Linked DNA regions of Coturnix japonica. The protein of the gene in region 2 interacts with the protein of the main gene of each other region in a biochemical or structural test. Links are inferred from orthologs where the notes say so. Each region holds a gene or a part of one and is shown on either strand. Other genes may lie near its edges.

Region 1 (3,513 bases), on a different chromosome or scaffold from region 2:
ATGGGGTTAGATTGTGCGTGCAGCTGAGTCCAATGACAACTCAGTGACGTCAACCTCAGCAGCAATTGCCTGTTTAGTTCCCTCTCACAGCCAGGGAACGACCAACAGCCTTTGTGTCAACACAGCTCTGCTGCTGCAGGAGTAACATGAGCGCTATACCTGAACTGCTGGAGTGTCTCACAGAACTCAAGAGCCAAGTGAGGGCAACTCTTGAGCTGGCCACATGAATTACTCCAACACTGAAAGTCTCTCCTAACTCCTGCTGAATGAGAGCATGTTTTTTTCTTTTCACAAGTTCCCAGATAAGATGTTTTATAGTCCCCAAGAAGAGGCACAGCTTGCTGAAAACCAGACATGCTCTTTCTCAGGACTTCACAAGACCACAGTGGTGTGACTAACTCTGTGGTTTTCTAAATCTGATTCTAGACATCACTTTGGGAAGCTGATTATGACTGGCACTTTGAGACAGGTTGGAATGGGGCATCCAAATCTGTGTTCAGTTTTGCAGCAAGCCAGATGACAGCCTGGTTTTCCATGTCCCAGACTGCCCCACAACACATTGTCAAGCCAGTCCATGCCTCTCCAGATTCAGACTGTTCAGTTCCTCAGTGGCAGGCTGCAAAAAGTCACTGCACACAGGACATAGGGGCTGCATGAAGCCATGCCAAAAGCCATAGGAAATCCTCCATGCAGGGCTTGGAGGGGACTGGACATGTCAACAAAACACTCCATGGGGAACAGTGCCTCAGACACTACGATGTGGCTCAGCAAGAAGTTCCCCTGACAAACGAGAAAGAATCCCCCAGCAGATACGAATGCCAAAGCCTGTCCCAGGGTCGGGCTGTGGAGAACCACTGGCTGAACTATTCCATCCTCGGTTACGTTTCTGGATTTCTTCGGTTTTGTTTTCAAACGTAAATGGCTGAACAGCTCCCCCCCTTTACAACTTGTTGCTCTTCCAGTCCAAACAAAGACGGCAGAGCTCCTCCTCCGCTGGCTGCAGGATTGGGTAGTGCAGGCGGACGCCTTTGTTTACTAACTCTCCCACATGCTTGGCCGGCACGCACTGGGGCTGGCCGGGCAGCCCGAGCCGCAGCCCTGCGTACAGCGCAGGAGGCTGGCAGCTCCCCGCGGCCAAAGGCAGCAAAAGCCAGAGCAGGGGCAGCTTCAGAGCGCTGCTTTGGGTGGGCATTCTTGGATGCGTTTCCAAGGCATAGATATGAGTTTAGTCCCCGAGATGCAAGGGGTCAAGTTACAACCAGTTCCACCACTTTACTCCAGGGCTCCTCCACTCTGGAGACATTCGCCTTCCTTTTACTGAGACAATCTGGCTGTAGATAGCTATTGCGATGAAAAGGTGTCGCTGGGGAAAACCCCGTTCAACCAGCAACACATGCTAAAAAGCTTGAGGTTGTTCATCGTTTTCTGTGATTTGCAAAATGACATTCATAGCCCAATTCACCTTTCTATCTTCCTGTTACAGCTTTAACATCCCCTTAAGAAGAGTCCTGTTTCCCTCTTTCTTATCACAGAGACAACTAAAACTTTGCCCTCCTACAAGCCACATCCTCTGATCAGGGCAGAGCTCCTCACTTACCTTTGAAAAGAATTGAAACAGACTTCAAGTTAACAACACCAACACATTTGGAATGAGATAAGCTTTTGAAGTCACTCTCTGAAGTCAGCAAGAGTGTCAACTTCTTCATATGCACAGTTGGATACAAACTGCAACACCCTGCTGGACTTGCATACAAGTAGTAAAGTGCTGCCGAACTCTGGCCACCGATCTCTGCATGGCTGGGATGTCTACTTGTTTACCATTCAGTAGGGGAAGGAAGGGAGAATGGAGAAAGGATCTACATTTTTAAGGGACATGGCTTTTGTTTCTTTAAAAAACAGCAAAGTACTTTTTTTTCTTTTTTCTTTTCTTTTTTTTTAAAGAAAAGTAAAACAAGATTCTGTTTTTCAGACCTGATGGCATTTTACAGCTCTATTATGTTGTGAGGAAGTTGGTCACAAATCTGAGACACCAGCTAGGACTGTCCCACAGAGGAGCTGCTAGCAAGTCCAGCATGATCATAGTGCACTCTATTACTTGAGACATCTATCCCTAGACAACAAGGAGTGCCAAAACAGACTCTAGGCTTGTTGTCATCTCCAAAATGAGGAACTGACACAAGTCACAGACAACCAGCTGTACCACAGAAGACGTGATGATGGAGGTAAGGAGAGCGGAGAAGAAAAGTAAAATGCTAGGGAAAGCATCAGTGACCCTGTTGCTGATGAACCAGGAGAGCCAGAATAGCAGACAACAGCAGCTACCCTCCCAGACAATAAGTGCAGTTCTATACATGCTCTTCCCCCTACCTGCCAGTCTTTTACAGTGATCCATCAATCTAGCATGAGCAAAATACATAGGTATACCATGCTGTTTTGTCACTACTGGCAGCTCGTGGCTGCCTTAGGCAACAGCCTGCTTAGCTGAAGCCTGGAGCCAATCTTCTGGAGCACCACTCTTGGATAAGAAAGACCCCACCATCCCCTCTGGAAACACCCTACCCGCTGTATGTGGAGCCGGTGGAACTGGTCTGCAATGCACTGCAATTTCCGTGCAATCTGCACCTCAGTACGTGCCTCCCGCTGACCTTCCTGAGGCTCTTCTTGGAGATTTGGATCCAAAGCAAAGCCAACTGGAGGGACATGTAAGCGGTAACCAGCATTCCCTACAAAACAAAGACCAGCAGAGTCATTCTCCTAGCACAAAGAGTAGTTCTTTTATTCAGTATTACACTTCAGGCATACAGAAAGAGTTGCACATAATCCTGATTTTTTGACTCATTTTAAAGTCCAGTTTCTAAAGCCCAAGCAATGACCACATACACCATATGCATGCAGTACAGATTTAATTTGCTCAGCTTAAATTAGATTTATAACAATTAAGCATAACATTGTGTTGCTTCCCCTAATCAAATGACTGGATCTTCAACTTGGTTCTTTCTGCTTGTTTATGGTTCAGACGAGTGCAGAGGTGTTCGTTTTTCTTTAATGACAGTTTTACATCTCTTCCAACATCATTGCCTTAAGTTGTCCCCCTTTAAGGTTTTCTGTATGTGCTATGCCTTCAGACTTTTCTCAGTTGTTTTCTTGGGTGTTCAGTGGGACTGACTTGAATTAAGGTTGGACTGAGTACACAATACTGAATGATGTCCCATCAGTTACCAGTAAAGTGCTACTTATTCAACATGCTTAATTCCAGTAAAGAGCCTAAAGTCTGTCCCATTAGGTGGGAATTTTTTGCATTTTCTTCTCTTCATTGCAAACTTTCAGGAGGTTTTCTTATGTGGATGAGTAGCACAAGAGGTTTTTTTTTTTTAAAAAAAAAAAAAAGCAGGTAAATGGTAGGCTATGGCGGATGGTGAACATTTTAATGCCTGGCAGCAAAATAAAGTGACAGAATAAAGTGAAAAAGAAAAAAAAGTAGACGTATCAAGTACAGCAAAAGCAACCAGCAAG
Region 2 (4,249 bases):
AAACATGCTTTTGTACAGCACAGAACCAGCAGTGAATTCATCACCCTATAACCACAGCACAGAGCTATGCTACCACCCCATCATATAACACTGGGATTGAAGCAGTGAAGCCACACACATCACCCAGAGGGGAACGAGGTGCCAGCAGCCTTTGCCCTAAAGCTCCCCTTAATCTGTCCCCTGTCCAAGGGCTCAAAATAGAGCCCGGCCACCTCACACTCCGTAAATGAGATCCCACGGGTTCTAAGTGATACAGAGACAGGCACGGGCCTAAGAATAGCAGCCCAAGGAACCGGCTGGGTTATTTATAGGCAGGTAACCTCTGCTTATTATTAGATAAACTGACGTTCAAGCAACACAAAGAGCAGTATAACCATAGCCAATGTGACAGCAATGGCCTCACCAAGGGGCACCAATGGCCTCATCCTGACCCTTTTACTTCAATACCGAAGCATCAAATCCCTTTTCTCCCCCATTTCAGACACTGCTTTCTCCCCTTCCCCCCTCAGAGCCGTTCACAGCGTCAGGCTGCGGCCTACCCCCAACAAGCGGACAAAGGGGCCCAAAGCAGAACAGCAGCCCGTGCTGCCGGTACCGAGGCACACTCATGAAGCGGGGACAACACCAGGAAGGGCTGTGTGCGGCTGTGGGCAGCCCCGGTTGCCGTTGATTCCCGGTGTCCCCCCCCGTTCCTCACTCACCTCAGCGCCGCAGCCGCCGAGCGCGGGGCTTCTGCCCGCCGCCGTTAGAGGATTTCAAACGGGACTCGTCTTGTCCGAATGGACCAATCAACGCTCAGCTCACGCCCTCGTTGCGTGTTGATTGGACGGGCTGTCCAGACGTTAAAGAACCCGGATGAGCGCTCCCGCCCCTCCCGCGGGGGATGATGGGAAATGTAGGATTCGAACGGAAGGAACCGAAGCCTCAGCACCAGAAACAAACTGCTACTCCCATCATGCACAGGGAGAGAAAGGCTTCGACCAATCAGGGGAGGCGGGGCTCTGAAACAGCCAATCAGCTGCAGGGAGGCGGGTCTACCAGGCAGGGCCGGTTCCGCCCGTGTCTGCCCTCTGCCGAGTCTGCTCCTTGTTACCAACAGGTCAAGTCACCCGATTACAGCAGCCATAAGGATCCCCCCGCCCAGCCCCTCACTAACCTCACACCGCCCTCTATGGCCATGGATTCAAGCAGCCGCCTCATCCAGCCCTATGGCCACACCGGCCTTTCCCCGGCTGCAGCTCAGCTCCGAGTCACAGCCCCGAGTGCTGCGGGAACACAACGCACCTGCGGGCGGGGCAGCCGCCAGGGGGCGCTCGAGTCCAACCGGCCTCCTTGTCGCTGCGCATGCGCACTGCCACGGCCGCACAACGCACGCAGGCGCATGCGCACCGCACCTCAGACCGGCGGCGCCGCACGCATGCGCGCTGCCCCCTCCCTCCCTCCCGCCCCCCCCGGCTCGGCCCAGCAGCGCAATGTCCGCTCGGTGCTGATGCGGCGGGACACCGGGCACTGCTGACAGGCCCGACGGCCGGCTGGGCTCCCGGCCGAGCCCTGCGTCGTCACCGGTTGGGCCCATAGAGCGGGATCGGTCACAGCCCGGACCATCCACCGACCGCTGAGGTGAGGGGCGGAGCGGGGCAGGCCGTGAGTGACGGGCGGTTCCACCAATCAAAGCAGGCCGTTCTCTAGCTCCGCCCTCTCGGAGCTGTGGCGGCCGGTGATTGGCTGATGGCGAGGGGCGGGCTGTGTGCCCTATGGCGGCCCTCGTGTGCGGGCCCCGTGAGTGGGGACGGCGGCCGAGAGGGGCCATGGGAGCGGGTACGGCCTACAGCAACACCGGTACGAGGGGACCGGAGTGACGGCACTAAGGAAGCCGGGCTGTACGGCGAGACCCTGCCATAGTACCGGGGGGGAGCTCTTTGTTCAGCCGCCCTGTGGGTGCAGCACCCCGGGCTCTGCATCCTGCTGCCCCCAGCTCAGTGCTCCATGCATTGCATTGTATTGCATTGCATTGCATTGCATTACATTGCATTGCATTGTATTGTATTGCATTGCATTGTATTGTATTGTACTGCATTGTATTGCATTGCATTGCCCTGCAGCCCTTACCTGTGCCCCAGTCCTGCCCCACACTCTGACTCACCGCCAGGCTTTGGCACGAAAACCTTACAAAGAAACGCCAATTACTCAGAGCTCAACGCCGCCAGCAGAGGAGCGGCCCCTGCTTCCTTCATACATCAGAACGCTTCGTTATCTGCCTTTTGGAGAAGGAAAAGGCTCCACAACAGTGGGACCTCCCAGGGGCTGGCAGGGCTGGGGGCACCAGGAGGGCACGGAGCCTTGGCACTGAATAGGAGGGAGGGTAGGAGGGGTGGAGTGGGATGAGAGCACAGTGGGAGGGCTGGGGAGTTGCCTCCTCTCAGCGTCAAATTACTTTAATCCAACACCCTCAGCCAGAAGGAACGAGCTGCTGTTTCCCAGCCCGAGCTGCTATTTCCCAGGCTTTTCTCTGCCCTTTTTCTCAGGGTTGGGGTGTGGGTGAGTATAGAACAGTGACTCTGTGCTTTGTGCAGCCCTGCCTGCCCGCTGCTATGGGGCTTCGGGAGGAGCAGCCCCTCCGTGCTTTCCTTGCAGCCCCCAGGGTGGGGGGAATGCATTGCATGAAGGCTGCTGGGGTGCATGCAGGGACTGTAATACCTCGTGGGGAGGAGGGGCTGTGCAGAGGAAACAGCATTCAAACGACTGCAGGGACCTCAGTTTAAATAACATTACAAACAAACACCCTTTATTTCATCTGTGGTTTCATCTGCGTGTAGTTGCTGGAAGTCTTTAGAAGACTTCTCCTGGGGTTGTTCCTGTTCCTACCTTATTTCCAGGCCTGCTCCTCATACCGTGATACTGCACTGAGCCCTGCCATTCCCTTCTCCTCCAAAGGAGACCCCCGCACCTCTTACCTGCTGCTTTTAAAGGACACTTGGAGCCTTTCTCCCTCCCGTTCCCCCACGCTGGGGGCCGTTCCGAGGGACACGGGGCCGGGCCGAGCCACCGGGGATGGGAACGGGAAGCGGAGCCCGTAACCCAGCTCGGACACCGTCGGTCCCGCTGGGCAATGCCGGCGGGGGGCGCGGCCGGGCCCTTTAACGGGAGGGGCCGGGCGGGGGCGGTGCTGCCTCCGCCTCCGTGTCTCTCCGGGACTGACGGAGCGGAGCGGGGCCGGGCCGCCCGCAGCACCCGCAGCTCTCAGCCTCCGCCCGGCGAGCCCCGGCTCTGCCTGAGCCCGGTGAGCCCCGGGGCTGCGGGAGGGCTGAGGGTGACCCCGAGGGGGGATCCCCGTTCCGTGTGCGGCGGCGGTTCCGAGCGAAGCTGGGTGATGAGCTCAGTGTAACGTTAAGCTATTGATGTGCACGGCGCAGCAAGCTGTCGTGTTAACCGTTTCCTTGCCTCTCTTTTCCTCTCTGTGTGTCTGTGCAAAGGTCGGATGTGTTCGCCGGTGGTGAGGGAGCGTGGAGCCGGGAGCTGCTAAGTGTGCTTATCTGCTCGTGCACTGGACCATGGACTCATTGAGGGCGTTCCAGGTGTGAAAATGTCCGGCAGTAACCGGGACTTAGTGATTGACTTTGTTTCCTACAAGCTCTCGCAGAAGGGGCACTGCTGGAGCGAGCTGGAGGAAGAGGATGAGAACAGGACTGACACTGCGGCAGAGGCAGAGATGGACAGCGTCCTCAACGGGAGCCCATCGTGGCACCCGCCTGCCGGCCACGTAGTGAATGGAGCCACCGTGCACCGGAGCAGCATGGAAGTTCATGAAATCGTCGGAGCATCTGACGTGAGGCAGGCGCTGAGAGAAGCAGGGGATGAGTTTGAGCTGAGGTACAGGAGGGCTTTCAGCGACCTCACCTCCCAGCTCCACATCACCCCTGGCACGGCGTACCAGAGCTTCGAGCAGGTAGTCAATGAACTCTTCCACGATGGTGTGAACTGGGGGCGCATTGTGGCTTTCTTCTCCTTCGGAGGGGCTCTGTGCGTGGAGAGCGTGGACAAGGAGATGCGGGTACTGGTGGGACGCATTGTGTCTTGGATGACCACGTACTTGACCGACCATCTAGATCCCTGGATCCAGGAGAATGGCGGCTGGGTAAGAACTGCTCTCCCATAGGGATGGCTCCCTGCATCCTAGCTCAAGGCCAGATCAAGCTGCCTGCAGTGATTGTGCTTGTGCTCGGTCTAGACCTTGCAGGGCAAGAATTTG
Region 3 (4,030 bases), on a different chromosome or scaffold from region 2:
CCGTACAGAATGAATAAAGATTGCGGCTGCTTTCCTGTACTGACTGTAACAATCTGTCTTATGATTTCTTCACAGGGAGGCGGCTGCCTTCCTTGAAAAAATGGCGATCCAAAGAAAATTTGATCTTTGACTCAGATTCGACGTTATGGTCTCTTGATAAGTTATTTTGCTACTCAGAAAAACACACAGAGGAGCTGTATTGTCATCAAAAACTTCTTTTCAGTGTTGGAAGAAACCTTCCACACAACATACATCATACCTCAGTATTTCTGTACTATACATTTGTATTAATTATCTAATGGTATACTAAATTATGTTCCCCTCTGTAATTCAAGAAGTGTTTCCTGTACCATCAGAAAAGAGAGTGCTTTCTCTTCTGCTTAATATGAACTATTTCCATCATGTTTTGAGCATTTTTTCATGCTACTCTTTGAGCCTAAAGAAGTAGCATTCACTTAACAGGTCTGTGAAACACTCCTCTCATACAAAGGGGTACGCATATTTTATATATATGTAATATATATCTATGCAAATATATACATATATATAATATATAGACTATAACTATGCAATATCACATTAATTCACAGAATTGCATTTTTTTTTTATCCCCAAAGCCACTTGCTACAACAAATAACCTTTATATTAAAGCAGTGGTTTTAATGAACAAATGAGATATCCCCAACACCACCACTTCCCCATCCAGCAGAATCCGAGCTGTAGAAGATAAGGGCAGTCAGAACCTGAACGCCGGCTTTCACCTTGTTGACTCATGCCCACGTTCCACAACTTCTTTCTTTGCTTCGGAACCTTTCTGTCCGCAGTTCCTGGCTGGGATGTGGGATGCGAAGGCAACAGGGGAGGTGGGGTTGTCACAGGGTTCCCCAGCCCCAAGAAGAACAAGTTCCAACCTGCCCCTCACTACGTAGCGAGGGGCCGGTGCTCATTGCCTCCATTTTTTCCCCCAACTTAGCATCCATAAAGCAATAACGTTGTAACACTTCCCAAAGAAATCACATGGTGACAGCCATCCCTCGGCGTCTGCAGGTAGCAAAACACAAATCAAAGAGCTTTTTTTTTTTTTCCCCTCCATCTCCCAGTGTAAGTGAAATCTCTCGTTCCAGATCTGCAAAGTCGAAATCTTCCCCCTTTCTTTCTCAGCGCTGCGGGGGCGGCGGATCACGTCTTGGGGCAGAAGAGTTTAGTGATGAGGTTCAGGATCTTCTGCCTGAGGTCCGCCTTGTCGCCGATCCTGCGCAGCTCCACGGCGCACTCAGCCACCGCGTCCCTCTCTGCAAGGCACGCGCAGGGAGGTGGGGATTTAATTCGAGCGAGGTCTATTCCAGGTAGCGGCACAGGGGAAAGCAAGAAGAATATCAAGTAGAAAAAGGAAGAGGAAAAAGGAAAAGCGTGTTTTTTTCCAGCATCAAACTCTCCCCCGCAATAAAAACACCTGAGACCTGTCTCCTTTCTCCTCGCCCTACCTGCAGGCTCGGCGGGTGGAGCAGGTTTGCGTATCGTCCTGCCGGGCATCATCGCGGCAACAGCTCGGCTCGGTTCGGCTCGGCGCAGTCCGGATCCACACGGCTCGGCGGCGGCGGGACACTGCGGGCAGGCGGGGCGATGCGCGCCCTAAAAGCGGAGCGCGGCGGGGTTTTCCCTCGTAGTGACGTCAGGAACAGTGCGGGAATCCCTCCCCCACCGTGGCGGGAGCGTGTCGGAGCGAGCCCGGACCGGTGGAGGAACGCAGAAATAAAGCGGGGTGCGGGGCGTGATGAGGGGGAGGGGATGGGTGTGCGGGATGGGGGGGTGTACTTGTGTTAAAACAGTGTAAGGATGCGCAGTGTATGGGAGGTAGAAGGATGCTGACCTACACCTGCAGCTCAGGGTTCTACCCTGCTGCTGGACCCGCACGCAGTGCCCAGGCAGCTCTGGCAGCTCACCTGCAAGTCCAGGTTGTGCTACACGGAAGCAAAGCTGAAATTGCCGCATGGCCCTCGTGACTTTTGTGATCGTAGCATAGTTTTGGGAGAGCTGCCAGAGCTCCGCCAGTGAGTCATCTGTCTGCAGGAAAGTTTGGTGTGATGGCTGTTTGTGTTTACCTGAAAACGAAAACAGGTGGACAGAAAGAGAGCAAGAAGGGTCAGACGTAACAAAGAGCTGATCTGAGGCTGGGTGCAATGTATACCCACCTTTCCCATTGCAACGCAGCTACAAGCAGGAAAAGACACTGCAATTGGGAGGTCAGGAAGTGCTTTCCTGTGGGATCAGAGCCTCTGGGACAAGTGTCTACAAAGCTGATTGCTGTCTGTTGGAAGAGGAAACTTCACCAGCTCAGTTCAGAGCTCCTTTTCCCTGCGTGTCTCAGGGTGCCTTGCTGGAATCCACAGCCGGGTGTGGATATTGCACAGCTGAGGCTGCAGCACAGTGAGGTGCACCGGGCAGGCACTGTGTCAGGGCCCTCTGGCACTTTCTTTTATCTGTCCTCGTCTCTCAGCTTATGATATAATACCTACATGGTATACAGGCTTATTGGCTAGATGTGATGTTTTTAGGGTCATTTCACATCCATACCAGCACATGTGTTTGTAATGCAGGCCCATACTGAGAAAGGTGCCCTTTGGCCTTTGATTCCTGTTATGGGAGAAACTCTCTCTCCAAACAGGTCTGTTGGGTTTAGGTGGCAGGGAGGCAGCAAATAGCCCTGGGGTGCATTGTCCATGTGGCGGGTGTCCCTTGGCTGCCCACAAGTGTGCACTGCCCACAACCCCATGAACAGCAGTGCTCAGCAGCTTCAGCAGGGAACAGGGACACATCAGCCCTCTTGTTGTCCTCCCCACAGAACAAAAACTGAGGAGAAGGAACGGAGGAGCAAAGCATGAGAAAGGAGAATTGCTGCAAGCATTTATTTAGCTCATTTAAGTGGAGCCAGAAACAATTTGAGAGAGATCTACTACTCAGGCATAAAAACCAGTGCCCCTCAATCTTGATATATCATAGGATCACTGAATTAATTGAACAGAATGGGACCTCAAATCTGCCCCAGCCTCAACCCAGCCCCTGCCATGGGCTGGCTGTCCCCACTAGTTCAGGCTGCTCAGGGCCTCATCCAACCCAGCTCTGAGCACCTCCAGGGATGGGGCACCACAGCTGCTCTGGAAAGTCTGTGCCAGGACCTCACTGACCTGAGTCAAGAATTTCTCCCTAATATCTACTCTAAATCTAAAATCTCCCCTCTTTTAGTTTTAAGGAGGACCTTGTCCTATCAACTGTCAGACTGCATAAAAAGTCTTCTGCTTATAATCTCCCTTCAAGTACTGTCAGGTCGCAGCGAGATGTCCCTGCAGTCTACTCTTCTCCAGGCTGTCAAGATCAGCTCTCTCAGCCTTTCTTCATAGAACAGCTGCTCCATCCTCTGAGCATCTGCCCAGCTTAGAAAGACTCCCTTGCCAAAACGGGGAACAGCCTTTAAAGGTAGCTCATCCTACTGCCCCTGCAGCAGCACCAAGAGACGGTCTCTCTTCTTTTGGAGATACTTCCACCTGCCAGGGCAGCAGTGCACAGATCAGTGGACTAGCTGATTGGCAAGGTTCATTTATTTCTTTTTGTTACTTGAGAACAGTTGTAGGGCAAAAAGAAGAATGGGAGTCTTCAGTGTGCAAATTGGGTTTACGGGCCAGGGCACCTGCAGTGCTCACCTCTGCATGCCCTGCTGCTGCAGCCCTCCTATGTGCAGGGCAGAGAGCCCACTGCCACAGGAGGAGCTTGCTGGATGCTGGTGGGCAATGAGGCTGTGGCTGTGGGGCCACTCTTTGCCTTGCTCAATGTGGCAGGGTGAAAAATAACCTGCTGTGGTTACAGGCTGCCAGTGAGCTCTGACACTGTTGGTTTCAGTTCCTCTAAACAAAGCAGCATGGCTGTGGGAAGAGCAGCACCCCAGGAGGCTGCTCCTTAGAGTGGTCTTGAAAGCTGTGGGGCCATGGGCATAGCCTGGGGGAAAATGGGTAGGAACAGAGTTAAGCAGCCCTGG
Region 4 (3,474 bases), on a different chromosome or scaffold from region 2:
TGCTCTTGCTAATGCTGCCACCGTGTGGACGTAACACAAAACAACTTCGGGACAGCTGAGAGAAAAGTGTTGTCCAAGCCTTTAACCCAAAGGCCTCAGGTACATTCACACCTCCCAAACCAGGGGGCCAACACTGGGCTGCATCACCTGTACATCACAAATCCAGCAGGCTTAAAACATTCCTACAGTGATGCTGTTTCTTGGTATCTCCTGACTAGCAAACGTAGCACACAAACTATGCATAGGCCAGTCCTGAGCAGGTCAGTTCAGGCATGGCTGACTACTCTTAACTAGTTCACTGCATGTTTTGTGTTCAGGATAGATTACACTCACCTGGAAGCACATAAGGAACACGCCATTTCTATTCCGATCCACACAAAGAGTGTCTTGATATGAGCAATGAGAGAGACTGACTTCTGTGTGGCACAAGGAATAGCAGGTAAGAGCACAAAGCAGCCCATTCCAAACGTGTCACAAACGTGAGCAAAGCAAGAGCTAACTCAAAACAACGCAGAAATCCTCAAAATATAAAAGTTTATTTAACTACAATATTAAAAAGTACAATATAAAGATATAAAACATAGAAATCCCATCATTGGTTCAGGGGTTAAAGGCATTAACTGGCCAGCTGTAAGGAGGAGCCTTCATGGAATTTACAGGCAGTTTAGCACTAAAGGCTATTTCATCTGCTTTCAGACTTGAAATATTGAACAGCCATTGCAGAGAATTTGCTCACCAACATCAGCGTAGCTGGAGGGGGGGGAAAAAAGAAGAAAGAAAAACAAGAAGTCAGAGTGCATTCACCTTTCTTGGAACACAAATCATAGAATCATAGAATTACCCAGGTTGGAAAAGACCTTGAAGATCATCAAGTCCAACCGCAGCCCAACCATAGTACCCTAACTCTAATAACCCTCCATATGACTCCGAGCACAACACCTTCTTTATATCACAGCACCCTTAATGACAACATGGAGCTCTTAACGTCACTCCTTGGGAGTGCATTTGTTCGTCACTGGCCAGAATAGGACACTGCTGTTGAAATAGCAAGAGGAATAATTGCCACCTTGAGCACATAAATGAAAAGCTGAACTAGGCTTTCATTAAGATCGATTAAGCTGCTTCACACAGGCATTTCATTTCCCACGTTTCACGCAGTTTTATTGCTCCTAATTCAATATCCAAGGAGTTTCAGTCAATTGGATGTATGAGTTAGATGACTGCTGAGGCTTCATAAACTACAGCAGGTCGTCAGGGTGCACGGAGTGACAAGAATCCAAGAAGTCCAAAGGCACTTACTCAGTGATGGAGCACAGGGAGCAGGTCACGGCATTACAGCAGCTGCACACCCTGCTGCAGCTCTGGCACACGAACCGGTCGCACTGTGCACACGCTTCCTTCACATCAGCAGCTCTTACACATGAGGAGCAAGCTTTGGAAACTCCCACCGGAGGAACTGCTTAGAAAAGATACAATCAAGAAACTAGGAAAACAGAGAGAACAGCAGGAGCTGGTCAGCTCCGCTTGGTACCGCATCTCACCGCTCTCCGTGTTGGCCGTGCATCGCAGCAGTTTCCCGTTGGGCCCGATCCTCAGCTGCTCGCTCCGGCTCCGTCCCACGCTTCCCCCTCCCGACTCCGGCTCCGTGGAGCGGCTGGCGGCTCGTGGCGCTGCGGGCCAGGCGGGCTCCGTGCAGCTCTGAGCGGCCCTGAACAGCAGCCGCCGGGTGCGCTCTGCCGGCGGACACGAGAGGCGGGTTACGGGCGGCCGCGGCCCTTCACCCGCCCTTTCCTCCCCTCCCCGTCTCACCGTAGATCTCCCGGCGATACTCGTCGCCCCGCACCCCGCGGCTCAGCTCCTTCAGCCCCACGCGGGTCTTCAGCTGCAGCGGGGCCGCGTCCCCGAAGGGACACGAGCGCTTCGGCATCGCCTCCGCCAAAGGCACCGGGAACCGGCTGCGACGGCGCAGCGACCGCGTCACCGCCACGGGCACCAATGGAGCAGCGGGGCGGGAAGCGATGAGGGGCGGCGGGTGGCTCCGACCGAGCGCTGAGGCGGAGCTTCGGTGCTCGCAGGCTCCGTAATGCGGCCGAAATGCCGGGATATGGAGAGTCGTTGGTGGGATGTTCCCGTCTGACACACCGCCACGTTGGGCTTTTTTGCACGTACAGCCAACCTGCGGCCTTTACTCCTCAACAACATGTGTACACCTCATATCAAAGGTGCTATTATATATTACTGCTATGAGTGCCAGCACACAGCTCCACGTCATGTTCCTATGACTAGTAACTGAGTTCATGGCCTCATCTTGATGAGTTGTTTCAGGCACCAAAACTTGTATGATAAGCCAGCAAGGTGCAGGATTAATGCTGAAACAAGGGTTTGCCACCCTGGCACAGCAGCCAGTGCCTTCACTTAAGTTAGCACGACGTGGTTCTCGTAAGAGACACAACAGCTCTGCTCTATAGATCAGAATCCTCGAAGGTCCCACTTACACTAGAGGGCACTCTCAGGACTGTAAACAGCGTTGTTCATTTAATTCGAAGTGATCGTTCCAAGAACTCTGTGTTCAGAAAGTGCTATTCTGCTCCTCAGCCTGGATCTCTATGGGAGAGACACCAAGGCACTCATTGTATCTCTGTGCTCTCTGCTGAGCAGCCTGCACTAGTGTTGTGATATAGGCTATAAAAGTGATGTTCAGTACTAGGCCTACCACCCAGGGTGCCAACTAATAGATGTTATTATATGTGCCTGCCAAATGAGGACTACAGTATCTCAACACTTCGAAAACATTCAAATACATGAGTGCTTTATCCTGGAAAAGGCATCTCCTTGCCAAAGACATTCATGCACAGTGTTAAAGTGTGTACTACCTCCTGCTGCTGGCCAAAACCTGATGCATTAAAGGAGGTTATAAACAGTTTGTGTCCCCTTGTTTTTATCTTTCCCCATCTCCTGGACAGTCTCAGAGCTGATGAGCCAATATTGAATGCAAACACAGCTGCAGAAATGAACAGATATTAATAACGCACAAAGGTGCTTCAACAATTAATCTCTTGTGAGAATACGTAGATTAAATGGCAAAGTCTTGGAACTACTCTGCAGGTTTTAATACCTCACAATGACTGATATCCACATGGACAATACTTCACTTTTGACAAACAAGAGTTCAGGCCCACACAGGAGTAAAAGCAGCAGAAAGGAATTTCTGCCAGTTGTTCCCTGCCTTTCTTTTCCACAGACTTGTTGTCTGGATAAGAACGAACTTCCATGAGGTACAAGGAGTGGGCTACGGCTTGACCCCACATGAACTACTAGAAGTGAGTATGAATAAGGAAGCAATGTATTAATTGCAGCACTAGAAAGGCAAGATGTCAATGTCAATCTTGCCTTTCTTCCTGTTTTTAACACCCTACCCACATTCTTTCCTCCCTCTCAGCCTAAAGACTCTGCTCTCCAGCTGACATACAACAG
Region 5 (3,513 bases), on a different chromosome or scaffold from region 2:
TTTGGAACTACTACAGCATGACAAAGTTGAAAGCCATTATGCCTGAAGGAATAGCTCGTAACTGCTGAGCAGAGGGGGACCCCTTGTATCGGTCCGATGGAAGTTTCCTGCCCACATTTCTGTGCTTTGGCAGTCCTTCAAACACTGCCTGGGCTATGAAGGTTCATTTGTTCTGTAAAGCAACTTCCTAAACCAGATCTCTGCGAAACAGCGTGAGACAGAACAGAAAGCCTTTGAAGCAGCAGCTCCGGGAAAGCAGAACGGTTGTTCAGCCCTGAAATGGGAACAGCCTGCAACAGCTCTGCTACATGCAAAAATGCAGTTAGCCAACGGAGTGGTAGAGGGTGTGGAGCAGAGATTGCTTCATCTTAATTAAAAACAAAGCAAAAAAAGCCTGTCTTACTGCAGACATGAACTGCTTTTTTTAAGAGGAACAGGAGGCACAAAAATCAAGTTTTCGAGGAATTTAATCCTGGTTTCTCTCTGCACAAACATTTGGAAAACACTAACGTTTGTGTATTGAGATCATTATGAGCTGCAGTACTAAGGCAAACTTTTCAGTCATATCCCTTCCAATCTTGAAGCTAAACCACTCCGTATCTGTCCCACTGGATCCCCTCTGTCTGTTACTGCCATCTGATTAAACTCCTCCTTCTACAGATCAAACCAGCACAGTTAATTCAATTGTTACGTGTGCAAAAGGGAAGCATTGCTTTGACTTCAACATTCACAGACAATATTTTTGAAACCCTCTTGTTTCCTGATTTCACAAAGAGGCTGCAGCAATCGCTGTGTGTCTGACGGATGGACTATGGATGCACCCACACACACGTGGAAAGCTAATGCAACTGTAAAACTCTGCTCGCCATCCCAAGTGAAGAAGCAACATCAGAGCCACCTCCCCCTCTATTCAAGTTTTGAAACTCTGCCCCATCACTGTTTTGGAAGCATCAAAATGCTCTTAAATTCATTTTAATGCCCACCACCCTCCAATACTTACACGTTAGTGTGAAGCTGGAACTCATCAGTCTTATAGCCGACAGCAAAATTGCTCTGGGTTACTCTCGACTTTGCTGTCTCAAAAGTCATTTGGTAACCTGCCAACCAGCCCTCGTAGCCAAGCACCAGGGCTCCACGTATCGAAGGACCGGCGATATCAAAATCCATGTCGCAGCCCAGGTTGATGTGTTCCCTTTTGTATCCTGTCTTAATCTTAGCACTCTTTTTCCTAAAGCAAAGAGAAAGAATCTCACATCCTTGAACTGGCACTCTCAGGTGGCAATTCAATCAAATCAGTTACTTTAACTCTGTGTAACAGATTTTGAAGACAAAGTATCCGTGTTTGCAGAGTCAAATGATACATCGCCTTCTTAAATTCCAGAGTTGTGAGACTTTCATTCACCTACAAAGAAGTGCACGCAATCACATGCAGTGCGGTGCTTTTCTAAGCCCTTCTGAGCTGCATCCTGCTGAGCAACAGCACAGTGTGCCAGATTTGAAGTGACAAAAGCCAATCCTCACCACAGTCTGATTTCTCAGTAGTTTAGGAGTGACAAGGGAATAACAGAAACCAACAGTTTACAGGTTTGCCAACGACCAAAGCAGTTCACCTTTCGTCCCAGACAAACAGCTTTTAGGCAATCCTGGTTACTGCGTAACTTCATTTACTCTGCCAGACAACAGCAAAACACTTTTTTGCCTCCAGCTTCCCAGGGGAAGGTCTGAGCTGCTAAGGAAGCAGGTGCTGCAGCCCCCTTTCCTCCCTATGATGCATTACAGCACTGCGTGCTTACAGCAGTAACAAAGGCTAATTGCAGAAACAAACTTTCTCAAGTCACTTCCTTCTTTTGCCCTTCCTGACCTCTTGGCCAGGATCATTTACCAAATCATTTACTGAAATCCTACCAGAAAAGTAAGGCTGATAGGAAATTTCTAATCAACTGCCCACTTCAGCCAGCAGAAAGAGTCCCCATGATCTGCAAAACATGCTGTATCAGACCTGCATAGAGATTGCTCTCTATTATTATTATTTCTAACTCAGGAATTTATGACGAGCAGGAGTCCCGGAAATGCCAGCATTAACCTGCCTGCAATTACTGCAGAAGCTGAGAAATGATTATTAACAAAAACTGGAGACTATTCTGCTTGACAAATGCAAAAATATGCGGTTAATTCAGAGTAAAGAATGGGCAGCAAGCAGTTGGCAGCGGGGAACGTGACATTTCAGGCAGGATGAAGCCTCCATTGGGACTAGAAGCACTGCAGCACGCTGCTCTGAGCAGCTCAGAGCGGAGCATTTTGGCTCAGTGGCAACACTGATTGCAAAAAGATAATCAAGAGGGGACAGAAAATAAACCAGCATACAGCCCTACAGCTGCTGCTTAATCCCTCTGGCCCACATAACCGTGACATCCAATCGCAGGGTGCAGCACCACGGCACTGTGCGGCCAGCAGGAACTCAAGATGACAAATTCAGCTTGGGAAAAGAGCCCAATTACTGTGCCGACCTATTAGAGCCACAGCCAACTGGCTTGTGGAGCTTGTTAAGCTTTGCATTACAGCTGATTTGTCTGGCATTTTTATTCAGGCAGGAACGAAGTGCTCATTTTCTGACATGGCCAGAAGTAAAGCAGAAACAAAACATTTCCTTCTGATTCTGGCCATAATTTCCAAGTTAGTGCATTTCAAAGTTCGGTTTAGAGAGCAATTGTTCATTTTAAGAGTGAAGTCAAACAGACACGATTTCATTGTGCATAGGCAGAGCATTAAATGTCTCGATGTCTTTGGACAACAGAAGGAGTAAGGAAGACAGTATTTTGGGAAACTAAAACAGAACCAGAAAAAGCTTTTTTGTGTGCATGTGTGTCTCTCTGAAGCTTACTGACATCTTACCCAGTGTTAGGTGAGAAGGAGGAGTCAAAAGTCAGCTTCAGGCCACGTGCAAGCTGAACAGAAAAGAAATTCACTGGTTGGATTTCTAGTCAGACACTGTCACAAGTGAATCTGGAAGCTGCATGTTTGAAGCCCAGAGTTACCTGGTCTTCAAGAGTGATCTCAGTTCCCAGCGTGTTGTCAGTGTTCCACTTCTCTGTGAACATCAGCCCATATTCCACCCATCGGTATTTGGTTTCCAAGCTCCCACTGACTTTGCTTGTTTCCGAGTTTGCTGAACCTGAGCTTGTAAATTCCTGAAGAGGAAAAAGAAAATGATATGTATCACTCTGTTGCTTGTACTCATGTGATGACTGATCTTCATAGAATTATTATTTGTTGTAATTTGGGACAATAAGATCTGCATCTTTCTCAAAGGTGCTCAGAAGAACACACAGCACATCCCTGCAGAGCCTGCTCCAAATCCTGCGCAGAGCTGCACCATAAAGGCATGGCAGCCTGCAGGGCTATAGTATAACTGAAAGCTGATATGGGGAGATCAAGGAAGACACACTTCTATTTTTAAAAAGGAATACAGGGCAGACATAGGAACACTGCCGTGTTTGGGATTTCAGTCCCTGC

The links.
Region 1: the proteins of BCL2L1 (region 2) and BMF interact in a test that uses a peptide from one of them, tested with the Homo sapiens proteins (2 studies listed by BioGRID). The link is inferred for Coturnix japonica from reciprocal best matches to the Homo sapiens genes BCL2L1 and BMF.
Region 3: the proteins of BCL2L1 (region 2) and PMAIP1 interact in a biophysical measurement, tested with the Homo sapiens proteins (3 studies listed by BioGRID and IntAct, with this or other methods). The link is inferred for Coturnix japonica from reciprocal best matches to the Homo sapiens genes BCL2L1 and PMAIP1.
Region 4: the proteins of BCL2L1 (region 2) and SIVA1 form a complex in vitro, tested with the Homo sapiens proteins (2 studies listed by BioGRID and IntAct). The link is inferred for Coturnix japonica from reciprocal best matches to the Homo sapiens genes BCL2L1 and SIVA1.
Region 5: the proteins of BCL2L1 (region 2) and VDAC1 form a complex in vitro, tested with the Homo sapiens proteins (4 studies listed by BioGRID). The link is inferred for Coturnix japonica from reciprocal best matches to the Homo sapiens genes BCL2L1 and VDAC1.

Annotation. Positions count from the first base shown.
Region 1 is NC_029520.1:27,123,341-27,126,853, forward strand, and holds part of BMF (bcl-2-modifying factor), read right to left. Parts: intron 2,724-3,513; coding exon 2,560-2,723; intron 1,785-2,559; exon of another isoform or gene 1,484-1,784; intron 1-1,483. UniProt on the Homo sapiens protein: May play a role in apoptosis. Isoform 1 seems to be the main initiator.
Region 2 is NC_029535.1:9,011,375-9,015,623, forward strand, and holds the start of BCL2L1 (bcl-2-like protein 1), read left to right. Parts: upstream 1-1,448; 5' UTR 1,449-1,620; intron 1,621-2,413; exon of another isoform or gene 2,414-2,538; intron 2,539-2,954; exon of another isoform or gene 2,955-3,084; intron 3,085-3,162; exon of another isoform or gene 3,163-3,280; intron 3,281-3,473; 5' UTR 3,474-3,583; coding exon 3,584-4,135; intron 4,136-4,249. UniProt on the Homo sapiens protein: Potent inhibitor of cell death. Inhibits activation of caspases. Appears to regulate cell death by blocking the voltage-dependent anion channel (VDAC) by binding to it and preventing the release of the caspase activator, CYC1, from the mitochondrial membrane.
Region 3 is NC_029547.1:8,679,715-8,683,744, reverse strand, and holds the start of PMAIP1 (phorbol-12-myristate-13-acetate-induced protein 1), read right to left. Parts: upstream 2,803-4,030; 5' UTR 1,537-2,802; coding exon 1,485-1,536; intron 1,338-1,484; coding exon 1,180-1,337; 3' UTR 1-1,179. UniProt on the Homo sapiens protein: Promotes activation of caspases and apoptosis. Promotes mitochondrial membrane changes and efflux of apoptogenic proteins from the mitochondria. Contributes to p53/TP53-dependent apoptosis after radiation exposure. Promotes proteasomal degradation of MCL1.
Region 4 is NC_029520.1:46,911,704-46,915,177, reverse strand, and holds SIVA1 (apoptosis regulatory protein Siva), read right to left. Parts: upstream 2,316-3,474; 5' UTR 1,928-2,315; coding exon 1,810-1,927; intron 1,734-1,809; coding exon 1,542-1,733; intron 1,457-1,541; coding exon 1,300-1,456; intron 751-1,299; coding exon 693-750; 3' UTR 513-692; downstream 1-512. UniProt on the Homo sapiens protein: Induces CD27-mediated apoptosis. Inhibits BCL2L1 isoform Bcl-x(L) anti-apoptotic activity. Inhibits activation of NF-kappa-B and promotes T-cell receptor-mediated apoptosis.
Region 5 is NC_029528.1:2,133,942-2,137,454, forward strand, and holds part of VDAC1 (voltage-dependent anion-selective channel protein 1), read right to left. Parts: intron 3,189-3,513; coding exon 3,036-3,188; intron 2,946-3,035; coding exon 2,893-2,945; intron 1,229-2,892; coding exon 1,001-1,228; intron 1-1,000. UniProt on the Homo sapiens protein: Non-selective voltage-gated ion channel that mediates the transport of anions and cations through the mitochondrion outer membrane and plasma membrane.